Lonchura striata: one gene and its partner. The protein of the gene in region 1 interacts with the protein of each later gene in a pairwise test. Links are inferred from orthologs where the notes say so. Each region holds a gene or a part of one and is shown on either strand. Other genes may lie near its edges.

What was found. The genes of interacting proteins can lie anywhere in the genome.
Region 2: the proteins of COIL (region 1) and PDLIM5 interact in binary tests that used the Homo sapiens proteins (3 or more experiments, as listed by UniProt). The two-hybrid records come from large-scale screens. The link is inferred for Lonchura striata from reciprocal best matches to the Homo sapiens genes COIL and PDLIM5.

The regions. Positions count from the first base shown.
Region 1 is NC_134621.1:7,704,914-7,712,091, reverse strand, and holds the start of COIL (coilin), read left to right. Parts: upstream 1-4,173; 5' UTR 4,174-4,201; coding exon 4,202-4,449; intron 4,450-6,073; coding exon 6,074-7,178. Other genes in the region: SCPEP1 (retinoid-inducible serine carboxypeptidase), read right to left, coding at 398-470, 675-749, 1,213-1,368, 2,063-2,152, 3,018-3,163, 4,051-4,102. UniProt on the Homo sapiens protein: Component of nuclear coiled bodies, also known as Cajal bodies or CBs, which are involved in the modification and assembly of nucleoplasmic snRNPs.
Region 2 is NC_134606.1:51,585,260-51,592,984, reverse strand, and holds the start of PDLIM5 (PDZ and LIM domain protein 5), read left to right. Parts: upstream 1-4,724; 5' UTR 4,725-4,851; intron 4,852-6,736; exon of another isoform or gene 6,737-6,966; intron 6,967-7,652; 5' UTR 7,653-7,692; coding exon 7,693-7,725. UniProt on the Homo sapiens protein: May play an important role in the heart development by scaffolding PKC to the Z-disk region. May play a role in the regulation of cardiomyocyte expansion. Isoforms lacking the LIM domains may negatively modulate the scaffolding activity of isoform 1.

The DNA of each region.
Region 1 (7,178 bases):
CCCTTTAACTTGCTTTTTATCCTCACCAGACACAAATCTCACTTGCAGCCTCATGAATGGCTTGGTGGCCACATTTCAGCCAAAAACACCTCAGAGGCTGTGGAGATGTGTAGGAACATTTTACCATCCCCTCCACTTCAGATGCAAGTGTGTTCCTCGCTGACCTTCCTCTCTGACTTTTCCTAATCTAGATACATTCTAAAGAGAGATTCATCAGTCACAAGAAGACTTGCAAGGCTGTAGTATTTATTTTTGATTTACCAGACTCACTAGAGAGTTAATTCACTTAAGGCAGGGATGGCCTTTTTGACTTCAGGTACTCATGGAATGATTACAACACCCAACAAAACAAAATAACAACAACAAATCATCCACAGTCTGAGGAGTTTAAACATACCCAAAGGTGAAATCCACGAGTCTCCAAGAGCAGCGCCCATAAAATTGCACTTTATGGTCCCTTTTTGAACAGCCTTTGTGAATAAGAGGAAAACCAAAACAAAACACCAATAATTAAATTTTAGTTATTCGTGACTCTAGAAACAGTTCTCATTAAGTGAAAAAAGTAAGTAGCACTGTGAATTAGGCAATAGGGACAGTGTATTCCAGAAAATAAAAGTACCTGTAGAACCCCCTGTTTTGAAGTGAAAAGTGAACTTTATTCTTCAAGTACTTACATTGTGCAGCTCTAAAGCAACCCCAGCAGCCATTTTACCTCCATAAGATTCAGAAAATATGTAGAATGGGATGGTCTGGGGAGAGAAAAACCACACAAGGAACTTGTTGTGCGGAGGGCAGAAGATGCCTCCAATCATCTCCCAGATCCCATAGGACCCAGGCACTGGCTGTTCACCTCTCATCCTCAAACATTTAATGTTTTTCTTATTTTAAGCTGCACATTAGGTTTCCATAACATCCTGGTGATTTGCTGGGGTTGGTTCTGAAGCATTTTGGAACTATAAGCAGCTGTGATCCTGTATATGCTGCTCGGATAACTCAACAGACAGAACTCCACCCCAATGCTTATCTAACTAAACCCCAAAATCAAGATACAACTTCTGAAATGTGGAAAATAAGAGACAGTGGTTATATTTGCACCACACACTACCTAGCAGCAAAACACTGTTCATTTGGAAGTCTGTTCCCTAATTCTTTTTGAATTATATTTAAAAGCAGAGAAAAATACAACAATAAACAAGATTTCAATTCACTTACCTGGAATTCTGTTCTACCCTTGAAGAATTCTCCAAGAAAAACCATCATATCAGAAACTACTGCGGTAAGGTTTTGGGCAAACAAGCTACAATCATCCACATAACTGAATCCAGTGCCCACAGGATTATCCACAAACAAGATACTGGCTGCCTGCAACTGCAGAAGCAGAAAAGTTTGTATAAAACCTCAGTTCAGCACCAGCAAAAATCTTAGTTTTGATGGCACAAATGATTAACTGAGCCAGCAAATCCCTGGACCTGAAAAGACTTGCAGAAAAATTAGGTGCAACATAAAGGCCTTCAATTTGCCCAATCTGTAATGAGAAATACAGCCAAAAAAACTCCCAGTGATCCAGGGGCAGGTCACCTAGGGGAACTCCGAGTACTTCAGTCTATTGGTAACTCAGGGCACAGATATATTGCTCTAATTAAACTTCCACCTTCACAGGCAGCTGTCATTTGTTCTCCCTTGAAGGCCATACTGGACCTGTAATTATAAGCCATAGGTTTTACGCTGCCAGCCACCCAGAAAAAACTCTGTGACTGCACACAATGGAGCTGTGATTTGAAAGAACACTTTCTACAATTTCCCTGCTCTGTTTCCCATTTCACAGTTCCATGGAAGACCAGACATACTTTATCAAATCAAATTAATGTCTACCCCTCAGTTTTGAACAAGGCTATTCCTATCAGCTAACTTATTAACCACAATACTTTAACTTGAAATATTATAGTTCTACTGAACTTTAAATGAAAAACTGTTCCGTGCTTTTTTTGTGTAGTCATCATCTGCTCACACAAGCAAACAAACATTTGTAATTAGTAGTTAGAAGCTGAACTCTCTACTGTACCCAGGTTGTATTTCTTGGTTTCATTTCTTTGTCTAATGGACCAATCTCTTCAAAGTTCCCATATCCACAGCCTGAAGCTCCTGGACCTCCCTGCAGGGAAATATCAAATGACACAGATGTTAAAAGGCAGCATGGCACAGATATGACAGATGGAAGAAAAATACAAGACAGCCAGTAAGTAGAATGACAGATTGTAAATTTTTAGAAATGGTTTTTGCAGTACACATTAATTTGTAGAGCAGGATCTGTTCCTCATGGTCTTGGGCTATGCACACACATGCCATTTCTGAAAGCAAGAATTCAACAGAGAAGCAGTCACCCACTTGTGAGAGCTTCTGGTGAGCTGCCTGCTATTTGAGCACAGTTTCAAAACCTTATTCCCTGAATATGGAGTGCAAAAGCTAACTGCTAACTGGGACTTTGCAAGTCATTAGCTTAATCAGCATGTACAGCCTTTGGGTTTCACTCTGATGAAACAATCCAGAGAGAGTAAGAACAAGTCCTCAAGCGATTCTATTCAACATTAACTTCTGCAATGTACTGTAGAGAACACACCACCATTTTTATCAAACTGGGATTGTTTCCATTTAGAAATCATCCTCAATCTCTGGTTATTTTATTTCTCTCTCTGAATATTGTTTAGACTACAAACTCTTCAGGAAAGGAGCTGTGAAATTACAATGCACAAAAATCACTACTGTTGTATGAAAGATAAGAACAACTTCTGTTATTGCAATCAAACTTGATGGAAGGTGAGCAGTTGAGGACATCCCACAACTGCAGAATGAAACCACTCTCATTTTTCCCAACCCGAATACCTCATTCACAAGGCAAGGCATTTAGAACTAGGCAGTTTTGAATCCTGTTTCTGTAGAGCTGCACAATATCAGATATCAGACTGAACCAGGCACAGATGGAAAGAATTATTGCTTTGGTGTCTCTCGCCAAACCTTACCTGAAGCCACAAAACAAGAGGTAACTCTGTGAAGTCTTTGGTTGGGTTATTTGCATAGTAGAGCCACCAGAACATGTGGGCCTTGCTCCGAACATCCACATATCCCCACACCTCTTTGGGTTCTTGGGGCTGCCTCAGAACTACGCCTTGAGGGGAAACAATAACAATCAGCTAAGTAAAAAGGCTCAGCTTTGGACTTTCCACCAGAATCGTTCCAAAACATTACATTTCAATCTTGAGTGTGATAATTAGAAACGTTACTACTATTAAAGAAAATTATTATAAGAAATCTGCCTATACTTACACCCACACCCGAGTTATTGTCATGAAGTGTGTAATTAAGAGAGCTGCCGCCAGAATAACAGCCAAATCGCTGGAATGATTTGTTCTTGATGTGTTTTCAAGGCCTGGGCTGAAGGCACAGCCCCAGTGAAATAACTCCCATAACCAGCTGCAATTTCGATAAGTATCACAGAATATTCTGAGCTGAAAGGGACCAAAAAAACTGAGTCCAACCGTTTCGTGAACGGGCCGGGCGGGGATCGAACCCGGAGCCTTAGAGTTACTGGCCCCATGACCCGACAACCGAACTCATCCCAGCACTTGGATGTGCGGGGACCGCACCGCTTCACAGCCCCCAAGGAGAGCAGATGCAGGCAGACAGAGGGTCACTTCTAAAGGAATCCAAAACAGAATTTCAGTCGGTAAAGTCTGGTCACCTTACGCAGTCAGTCTACTGCCCATCTCGGGCACGGAACAGACCTTTGACACTCCATCACTTAATCTCAATGATCAGGGCAAAAGGCAACAGCGCAATGGAGCAGGAGCAGTAGGGCTTTTCCAAGCCAAGGAGGCTTTGCTGCTCCCGCCGGGACTGCCACTACCCTCTCCGTCCCGCCCGGCCGCCACCCCGGCAAGCGGAATTTCGCGCGGTTCATCCCGGGCCCTGCCCGGCAGCGGCTGCGGGACACAGGAGCGCTTTGCTCGGAGCCCCGTGCCCAGAGGCCCCGCTCCCGTCCCGCCCGGCCCGTACCTGCCGCCAGCAGCAGCACGTACAGCGCGGTCCCGGCCCGCAGCGGCCCCATCGCTCCCGCAGCTCCCGCGGTCACGGGACCGGCCCGCCCGCCCTGCGGCCCCGCCCCGCCCCGCCCCGCCTCTTCCTCCTCCTCCTCCTCCATCTCACGATGGCGGCCGGCGGCGGCCCGCTGCGGCTGCGGCTGGTGTTCGACCACCCTCCGCCGGCCAGCCCGGGCTGCGCGCTGTGCTGGCTGCTGCTGGAGCCGGGCCAGGCGCGGCTCGTCACGGACCTGCTCAGCCTCATCCGCCATCGCTTCGGCTTCAGCCGCCGCGCCCGCCTCAGCCTCTTCCTCGAGGGGGCGCTGCTGCCGCCCGCCGAGAGCGCGCGCCTCGTGCGGGACAACGACTCGCTGAGGTGCGGACCGGACCGGACCGGGACAGGGACCGGGACCGGGACAGGGACCGGGACAGGGATGGGGACCGGGACAGGGACAGGGATGGGGACAGGGACCGGGACAGGGACCGGGACAGGGACCGGGACAGGGATGGGGACCGGGACAGGGACAGGGATGGGGACAGGGACCGGGACAGGGACCGGGACCGGGACCGGGACAGGGACCGGGACAGGGACAGGGACAGGGACAGGGACAGGGACCGGGACCGGGACAGGGACCGGGACAGGGACAGGGACAGGGACCGGGACAGGGACCGGGACAGGGACCGGGACCGGGACCGGAACAGGGACAGGGACAGGGACAGGGACCGGGACAGGGACCGGGACCGGGACAGGAACAGGGACAGGGACAGGGACAGGGACCGGGACAGGGACCGGGACAGGGACCGGGACCGGGACCGGAACAGGGACAGGGACAGGGACCGGGACAGGGACCGGGACCGGGACAGGGACCGGGACAGGGACAGGGACAGGGACAGGGACCGGGACAGGGACCGGGACAGGGACAGGGACCGGGACCGGAACAGGGACAGGGACAGGGACCGGAACAGGGACAGGGACAGGGACCGGGACAGGGACCGGGACCGGGACAGGAACAGGGACAGGGACAGGGACCGGGACAGGGACAGGGACAGGGACCGGGACAGGGACCGGACCGGGACAGGGACCGGGACCGGGACAGGGACCGGGACAGGGACCGGAACCTGGACAGGGACCGGGACAGGGACAGGGACAGGGACAGGGACCGGGACAGGGACCGGGACAGGGACCGGGACAGGGACAGGGACAGGGACCGGGACAGGGACCGGGGCTGCGGGATCGGACAGAGAGAGCGGGATAGGGACAGTGGGACCTGTATAGGGATAGCGGGATACGGAGCGGGACAGCGGGGTCGGACAGAGAGCGGGACCGGGACCGGGATCAGGACAGCGGGATCGGCGGTCGGTCCCACTCACACCTCATCAGTGTCTGTCAGCGGTGCCAAGAGGCCGGAGCGGGTTCTGCCCGGTGGTGCGAGCCGTGGGACGAAAGGCAGCGGGCAGGAGCTGATGCCCAGGAAGTTCCACCTGACCGGGAGGAAGAGCTGCTTCCCTGTGCTGGGACAGAGAGGATGTGGAGTTTCCCTCACTGGGGATATTCCAGAGCCCTCTGGACACAGCCCTGTGCTCTGGGATGACTCTGCTTAGGCAGGGAGGTGGGACCAGATGACCCCACTGTGGTCCCTTCCAGCCTGACCCATTCTGGGATTCAGTGAATCTCCACGTGGTTTTGGTGGGACGGGGATGGAACTTCCCCGGGGGTCTGAGCTCTTCCTTCCCTGGGCAGTGGAGTGGGAGCGGGGTGCCCATGGGCACTGACTCCCAGTGCCTGAGACACCTCAGGATGTCCAAAAGGATGGAGGGAGCCGAGCAGTTGGAAATGTTCCTGAAGATGGAAAGGGAGCCTGTGCCTGCAGGGGAGGGTTCTGGACTGTCCAGGGAAGAGCTGGAGCATCTCCACTCTAGGGGAACTTGCCTGAGCTGCTCACGTGTGGGGAAAAGTGTTCATTATGCTGAACGGTGGCTTTTGTTTGTTTTTTTAACAGAGTAAAATTGGAAGAGATAGTTGCAGATGATTATGAAGAGATAGATGATGGCTTTAGTTACACAACAAAAGAAGACAAAAAAAGGCACAGACATAAGGAGGATGAGGAAGAATTGTCTAGGAATGAAGGCAAGCATAAAAGGAAAAAGAAAAAGGAGAAGCGTAAACTTGAGTATTCCTCTTGTAGGGAAGAGACCTCTATAGATACTTGGGACTCTCAGAAAAGGTACACGAAAAGAAAAAGAAAGGAAGAAGTTAGGGGAAGAAATATGCTTGCAGAAGGTAAGGAAGAGAGCTCTACTTCCCATTCTAAAAAGATGAAAAAAACAGAGAGGGAGAAGCAGTTGGCAACAAAAAAGAAGGATGAAAATCAGACAAAGGTTGCTGCAGCAAAGATGTCTTTAGAACAGGCAAATGAGAGTTTTTCTCTAAATTCTGGTAAAAATAGCACCAAAAAGATCACAACACAGTCCAGGAAAAAGAGGGTGGGAGCTTCAGATTCATCCAGCACATCGTCTGACAGTGACAGCAGTGAATTAAATATAAAGGAAAATAAATCTTCCCATAAACCTGTAGTGGTGACACTTCCCAAAGACAAATCCCAAGCTGCTTCAGATTCTCATGTGAAAACTAATAAAGTGACTGTAAAGTCTAACACTGAAAAGACTAAGACTGCAATTAGTAAAAATGCTAAAAAACCCCGGTCTTCTAGTTCAGATTCTGACTCGAGTACAGAGGATGAGACGGTGACACCAGCACAAGACAGCACCGCAAAGGAAAAATCGGTGCCAAACCATGTGGTGGCTGTAAAAGCCAGCACCAAAGCTCCCAAAGCACAGAGCTTCTCTTCAGACTCTGATAGTTCAGATTCAGACACACTTGTCATTAAAAAGTCTGCAGCAGCGTGTGCTGGACTGTGTAATTCCGTAGTAACGAGGTGCATTAAACAGTTGCCAGCCAGAGTCCAAGGACCGTTTGCCTGCCCCAGCCGTGGAAGGGGGCGTGGAACAGGAGAGGATAACTTCTGGAGAGGACCTAGGGGCCGTGGGTTTCGTGGGATGATGAGGGGCCATGGGAGAGGAGCAAACCCTGGCTTCTTCTATAAC
Region 2 (7,725 bases), on another chromosome or scaffold:
GTGGTGGTGGAGCCCCAAATGACGTCTGCTGGGTGTCCAGGCTGAGCAGCAGAACAGACCCTATAAAAAGCCTGTGCTTTAGTGAGTGAGTGGTGCTGGTAGAAATAAAGCAGGGGAGCTGCCTGCTCCCCTGCTGTGCCCCCTGTCCAAACCCCTGTGCCCAGCTGCTCCTGACCTGCCAGGCTCTTGGTGCTGCAGCTGGCAGCCACTCTCTCCCTCGCCAAGGCAATCTTGCACCTCTTCTCCCATAGCATTAATTAATATAAATACCTGCAAGGATCTCTCTGAAAGTTTGGCTGTTTACCTGCCAAACCCTACTTAATTGGGATTTGTGGTGGATCTCAAACATAGCTCAAAGACATCACTCAGCAAACCCTTCCTGCACACCTGAGGGACTGTAATTAAACCACACCAGGCCACAGGTTTCTGCATTAACCATTCCTTGCCATGAAAGAAAAGGAAATCAGGGCAGGCAGCTTGCTTCAATAGGTAAGAACAGGGATAATTGAAGGCATTACTCCCATAACTCTGTCAAAAATGGTAAATACGAAGTTTGATTTTTTTCCCCTCTCGGTTTTTCTTCCCATGTATTGCTCCATTTGAAGAGTAGAAGGGGCATGGTCAGCCTGTGGTAGAGTAATCCAGTGGTTAGTTGTTAGTAGCTGAAAAAGAATTTGGAAGAACTGGTTTCAATTCTTTGACAGTTGATTCCTTGTATGTATAAATGTTTATTGCCTCTGGTGACCATCTGTAAAATGAGGCTAATGCCTCACAGCAGGGCTAAGCATGAAACTGTTTAGGCTGTGATGTTCTGAGAAGCTTCTGATTGATTTCAGTCCCTAAAATGGGCCGTGTTTAATGTGATAAGAAGATAACCTTAAGCTTCTGCAAAGGTTAATTGTGTTTCCTGGAATGAAGAGGTTTAGTTGCTGTTTCATTGGTTTGGACACACAAAGTAGAAATGTTTAACCTGTGGCATGGGCTGTGACATCCACACAGGTGGTCCTTCTTTTACTTGAGGAGGAGGGAACAAAACAGATATTCCTAGCTTAGAACTAGGACTGATCAGGCTCCAATGAGTCTGCTCAGTCACTACAAAGGAGTCCAGTAATAAAATACATTTCCTGTTTATGCAATTTACCAAAATTCTAGAGAGACTGTAAATAAGAAGTATCTTATTAGTAAATATTAATTTCTCTTTACAAATAAAAGCACCAATAAATAAAAACTAAAGGAGGCTTGATTAGCTAAAATAAAAAATAAATCAGGGTATAAAAAATACAAATAAATCCATTTATAACATTAAGAGCTTCAAAGGCTAGAGTGGGAAGACCAACACTGTTAACTTTTCAATCTGATGAAAAACGTGAGTTTAAAAGCTGTCTGGATCGACGAGATGGCGAGCAAACTGCTGTCAGAGAGGACACAGCTACAGCAGAAGTAACACAAGAAAACATGTTCAGTGAGAAAACGGGCTGATGACAAGTGGTGAAGATGGTCAGCACGCCTGGAGGGATAACAGGCTCTAAGAGGTGAGAAAAAAAAGGTGACAAGTCAGAGAAAACTTGACCGTGACGGTTTGTTTTTTTTTTTTTTTTTTGGCTGACAAAACCGTTCCAAGGTGAATTGGTGGGTGTAGCTGCCCATCTGGCTGGATTCTGAACCTCCTGCCAGCGACCCTGCTCAACCACATGGCTCCTCCCGTGCAAAGAAGTCTTTGGGCTGACTGGACTTACTGCGGTAGACAGGATGCACGAGGAAGGATGCAATTCAGCACAGGCTATCTTTCCAAAACAGGGACAGGAAAAAGAAAAACAGAACAAAACAAACAACAAAACCACAAAATACCAAACAAACAGAAAAATAAAAGTTCTTCCGCAATACCAGTTCTAGGTAATTTGGGCTTCACTGTGACCAAAATGTAAGAGCTTGCCCTGTCAAAAGCTGACTGCAGCCCCTGCTTTTCAGAAACACATAGAAATTATCTAATTCCTTGTATTTTTTGGCCACAGAGCTGTCTTGGAACTGCAAATAAGCTGTTATGCTGTAGGGGATATTCACATTTACCTCTTTAGAGAGAGGATTACTTTATGTTGGTGAACACGAGTTATAAACTGAATGTAAATATTTACACTAGCTTTACCTTTGGAAGAAAAGCAAAAGTGAAAGCAGTGCAGTAAAAGCACAGCTTGTAGTTCAATGCTTTAGCACAGAGAAAGGTAATATTACATTAAGTGGTGTTTAATTAAAAACAATTCGACTGTGCATTGTTAATCAGTTCATAATTTATGGGCTACTTTTTAATTTACAAATAGCTTTTTGTACTTCACCACCGCAGGTGATATTCTCTGTCAGTTTTGTAGGGCCCATTACATGGCACCTAAGGCATTTCATTAGCATTTAAACGAGACTTAAGTGCCTGAGTAATTCTGAGATAGGCTGTATCTGCCTGGCTAGCTGACTACTGTATTTAATTAATTTCCAGACGCTTTCCTTCCTTGTTCTGAGGGGAAAATGCAAGCTCTGTCTAAAATCTGGTAGTGGTAGGAAGAACAGGCAGGCCACAGTTCTAGCTGCTGCCAAGGTTTCTTGCTCAATTTACTATCTCTAATTTCGTTATTCATCTTAATGAAAAGCTTTCTCTCAAAGAGGACAATATTTGAAAAGTGACCAAGAATGGAATGATCTTGAGCTAATGTGTTGCCTCTATTTCTGTGCCCTGTGTCTGGAGGCAAAGGAAAACAGATTCATTTGTTACAAACTGAAGTGAATCTTCGCCACAGCGAAGTGATGACGGACTTAAAGATGAGTCTGCCAGCTTTGAGCTGGGAGTGGCACTGACCTTGCTGCAATGGAGCAGATTGCATGCAGGCTTGCCGGGGCTGAAACCTGCTGCAACACCAACCAGCAAAAGTCTCTCTGCACGTTCTTCTTCGGTCATGATGAATTAATGTAATAGTGTCTTGAAGTGCTGCACATGCAAGCTACTTCTCCAACAGGAAAAGCTGAAGGCTTTGAGAGAACTGAAGTGGAAAAGGATGTTTTTCACTAACATGGCAAAGTGCAAAATCAAGCAGGACACAGGCTGTGTGCCCTGGTGAGCTGAGAGCAGATTGCTACCCAGGCAGTCAGCACAGGGACATGCTGACACTGGAGGTATCACATGAGTCACACCGGGACGTGGGGTCCTGCAGCTTTTTCTACTCTAATTAATAGAACAGCTTGAGAGTGACCTACAGCCCTTGTGACACAATGAAAAATCCCTGTGTTGGGTAATTTTTACCTCCATGAATTAAAATCATGTGAGAGTCTATTTGCGTAACAGGGATTTTTAGTTTTGCCCAACTGGAGAGACTTAATAGAAAAAGAGCAGACTAAGGAAGGAAAATTTCTGAAACAGTGGTTTGGCTGCAGTAGTGGGAGGTTTAGATGCTTTTCTTTTGAGATGCTGTTTGAGGTGCGTTTGTCCTACTTAAAGACACACAGCTCAGTGGGACACTGTTAAAATACCCTTGTTAAGGTTTGCTGAGCCAGGGCTCAGAGGATTAGACAGGCCCTGGTTTCATGCACACCCAAGCACCTAGAGCACAGGTCTTCTAACCCAGCATCAGCTCCAGTCTGAGGGCTCCTGGTTGGGGTAGCCTGTGGGAGCAATGGGCAGAGTAGGGCCAAAATCACACTCAAGGCTGTGCAAATAACAATAAAACTAAGGGACAGTGCCCTAGGCCAGAGGGGTGAGGCAGGGCTGTCTATTATGAGGACTGTGTGTTGTGTTGGATGGTAATAAGAATTTAAAGCTTTCTTCTGCATTCTTTCTCCACAGTTTGAGGAGGGTGCTGAAATCGTTTGAATCGTACTGACAATGATACTGTTAACTAGATGCACATTTCTTTCACAGACATTTTTACTTGTAATGACTTCTTGTCGCACATGAAGTTTGGCAGGAACCTCAAGCCTCCCCAAGCTGTGAGGTGCAGCTGGATGTGACTCCCAAGTGCCACTGTTTCATCTTTGCCCTATACCTGCCTCTCCCAAGGCAGCGGCAGTGGCTGGCGCTGGCTGGCGCTGGCAGTGCTGTCCCAGCCAGCCTGCCCCGCTCCATGGATTCCCAGCTGGATACTCCTCGTGTTAAAGAATCAGTCCTGTAACAATCTGATCAAGCATCACCTTAGAACCTGGTTCGTTTAATGGATGCACTCCTCCAGTGAGGCTGTGCCAGAGACCTTAATTTCTGGCGGATCCCTTCCAATTTCGGAGCTGAACTTATGCATGGCTACTCCACACCTGTTTGTTCTTGTGCCAGCCTTCTGTCAGCCTCAACAGCTCTTCTGCCTCGCCGCCGTTCCCGCACTTTGATGTCCTCGGGGGAGGGGGTACATCCCTGTCATTTCTCACGCTACTCCACATTAAATCAGCCAAACTCCCTCTTTTCGTAGGCTGTCCTGCTCCGCTTCAGGCTGCCCCCGCAGCCTGCCCCCATCCCTGCCCGGCACCGCAGCTCTTCCCTCAGGGCGGGCACAGGGGAGCGGCCCCTTCCCGCTTCCCTCGCGCTTCTCAGGTGCGCCCGCAGCTGCGTGTGCGTAAAGCAAAGCGGGGCCAACGTGAGCGCTCCCCTGCTAAAAACAAACCAAAACAAATCAAACAGCACAGCAAACCTGCGCACCGCGCGGCCTTCCCGGCCTCTGCCCCGCTCCGCAGCCCCGTCCCGCCGCGGCCGGGCAGGGCTGGGCCGGGCCGGGCCAGGGGAGGAGCGGCGGGAGACGGAAGTGAAAACAAGAGCGGGGGCTGGAGCCGCCGCCTCGCAGACGCGCTGCGCTGTCCTCGCCTCTCCGCGCTGAGCCGCGCCGCCGGGTGAGTGCCGCGGCGGCCAAAGCGAACAGAAAAATAACCAGGGGGGGAATCAGGCTAAGAGTCAGTAGGCTGGGCGCGGTTTGTAAAGCTCCGCGGTGCTTGTTTTCGTTTCATTTAACTTCTGTAAGCAGGACGCGCAACTTGCCGCGGTGGCCGAGCGCCCGGCCGGGGTGCCGAGGTGCGGCGGGGGCGCGGCCCGGGGCAGGAGGGCAGGCAGCTCCCGCCCGGGCTGCGGGACACCTGCGGGGCTCCTCGCCCCCAGCCGTGCCCGTAGGGCTGCTTGGACACAGGCTCCGGTGCGTCCCGCTCCCCGGGCTTTGTGGCACCCGCGGGGCTGCACGCCGGGCGCCCCTGGAGCGGCTGGAGCCGAGACCGAGCGCTCCTGCGGGGAGTTGTGGTCCCCAGGCTGCGCTGGCCGTGGGGCTCCTCGCCCCGGGGAGGTGGGCAGAGCGGGGTGCGGGGCGTACGGGGGCGGGAGGGCTCCTCTGGGCGCTGCGGGCCGACGGCTCAGCGCCCTGGCGGCGGCGGTGCGGGCCGCCGTTCCGGCCGGGAATTTGAAATTCCCCCTTCCAGACTCAGGTCCACTAAGCGTTTGATCGTCTAAAGGAAAGTTGCACATTTTCACCCTTAGCTGGTTTGTTTGCACAACGTTTGTTTGTTTGCTCCGCACGTGAATTTCATGGTTCGCGGTGTTTTGCTTTAGCTATTGCCTTGCCATATTATGACATTTGTTAAATAAAATTTGGAGCGAGTCTTCTTTGTTTGCCGTTACTTCCTGGTGTATCTGTCAGGCTAGAGATGCAGATATACCAGAATTAAAGGGATGAGAAAGATGAGTGATGCCGAGTGTGATGCACGGTAATTCAGAGTGCAGTTTCTTCCCTCCTATTTCCAGTTGCTACAAATGAAAAAGAATGGTATCAATTCCTAACAGAATCCATTATTTTTCCTGGGTCTGTAGCAGTAACTAGTTGATGCTCAACTTCAATAAATAAAAAAAAAATCTACACAGGTGCTTTAGCTTTCAATTGCCAAGTAAAGCCTGCTCACCTGTGTGAAACAACTGCACTGTATGCTGGTCAGTAGATGTGGCTTGCTTTTCTGCAGTTTTATATTTTAGAGTGACCTGTCACTGCAGTGGATTTCTTTTAGCGGGAGTGAACAGAATGTGTATTTTTATGCAGGAAGAAATCTGTGACCAATTCAGATCCTCTTTTTAAAAGAACTCTGTGCGTAGGACAATTTAACAGCTTAGTTCTCGTTGTAGTGGTGAGGAAGCCTCTTAAGAATCCTAGCTCAAGCTTGGCGGGGACTTTTCTTCCTCTTTAGCGACAGGAGAGCTCAATATTGTGTGCATCCCCTGTTGTTCATTGATGCTTGTCGAGGTTTTTAAGGGTGGGTTGAGTCAGCGCCTGGGGTCAGAGCTGCCCGTTTGCTGGATGCTAGCAGGCAGTGGTGGGTTGGGAATGGCCCAGTTACGCAGGCATCTCTGGTACAAGCTCCAAATTCTGCTTCCTAATACATACATATTTATATCTTGTGCTGCCTGATGCCAGTAGCCCTGCTCTGGTTACCTGAGTGGCCGTCGGTGTGAATAAAGCTCACTGTGTGATTTAGGAAAAAAGTGTGAGCAGTGGATCTCTGCTGCTTTGGGAGGTGAACCCAAAAACGTGCGTTGTGGATGACTTTTTTGGGGGGTGACATCTTTGCATCGATGGGGGTTGTGCGACAACCCTGCTCTCATGTTCCCTCATGTTCCTCGGGGGTGGGCTGCATTTGGAAAAATCCTCCGCCTCTGAGAAACTAACGTGGCGCCCTGCAGCGTGCGAACAGCCAAAACTGGGCTTTTCAGAGTTCCGTGGGGTTTGCAGCCGCCTGCTGCTGCTTGCCTGAAGGTCCACCTTAAATGTCCCTATATGAGTATGGAATCTGGCTGTGCCCCGGTGTAGTCTTACACCAGCCTGCCCTGGTGTGCTCCTGCCGGGCTTCAACTACACAAAAATAGACGGCATCCACTACCTAAGATGTCATTGTAACATTACTTATCTAAGGTGGAACTGAAGCCCTTATCTTTGACGCTGAGCAGCGCTTAAATATCTCTGTTGCCTTTTAAAGGTAATTTGTCGGATACATTTTTGGAGAGGGAGATGCGTGGGTTTTGCTTCCTCAGCATTGAATTATAACTGTGGATGTTTTGCTTTAGTTCACAGCTTTCATTTTTAGGGTTGGTTTTAATATCGGACTCATCTGTGATATTGTTCTGCCACTACGAAGCTATGCTGTAAAAATAAAAAACGTCACAGGGATTTTATTTTCGTCTGATTAACTGCAAAGTTGTGATGCTTTTGGCGTTGTTGTATTTAGAAATAAGCTTTGAGCTGATGACAGGGCAGCATATGATACTAATTTTGTTAGAAATGAATGTGCTAGTAGTGCTAATGTCTTCCATACTTCAGTTTAAGGGATGCTATCAATTCATGCTTGTCTCAATATTGACTTATTTTAAGCTGGTCTTTCATGCTGGATGGTTTTACCACCGCTGCCCCACATGGTGTTTTGCTAGTAAAAAGCAGTTGTCAAATATTTTGGCGGCAGCAGTTCTCCAGATTCTGTTTCTTCCTAAGCTATGGAGGGAAACAACATATAGGGAATAAAAGCACAAGTCATGACAGACCTGGTGTGGGGTTTTTGGCTGTTTTGGGGGGAGGGGAATATAGCCAAAGAAAGAATGTTTCCAAAATTGCGGACAGTGCCTTTTGTTTTTATCACCTTTAAATTAAAACTCTAATCCTCTTCTGCAGGCATCAGTTCTTTGGATTTGGTCCTTGAATACTAAACATCATGAGCAACTACAGCGTGTCTTTGGTCGGGCCG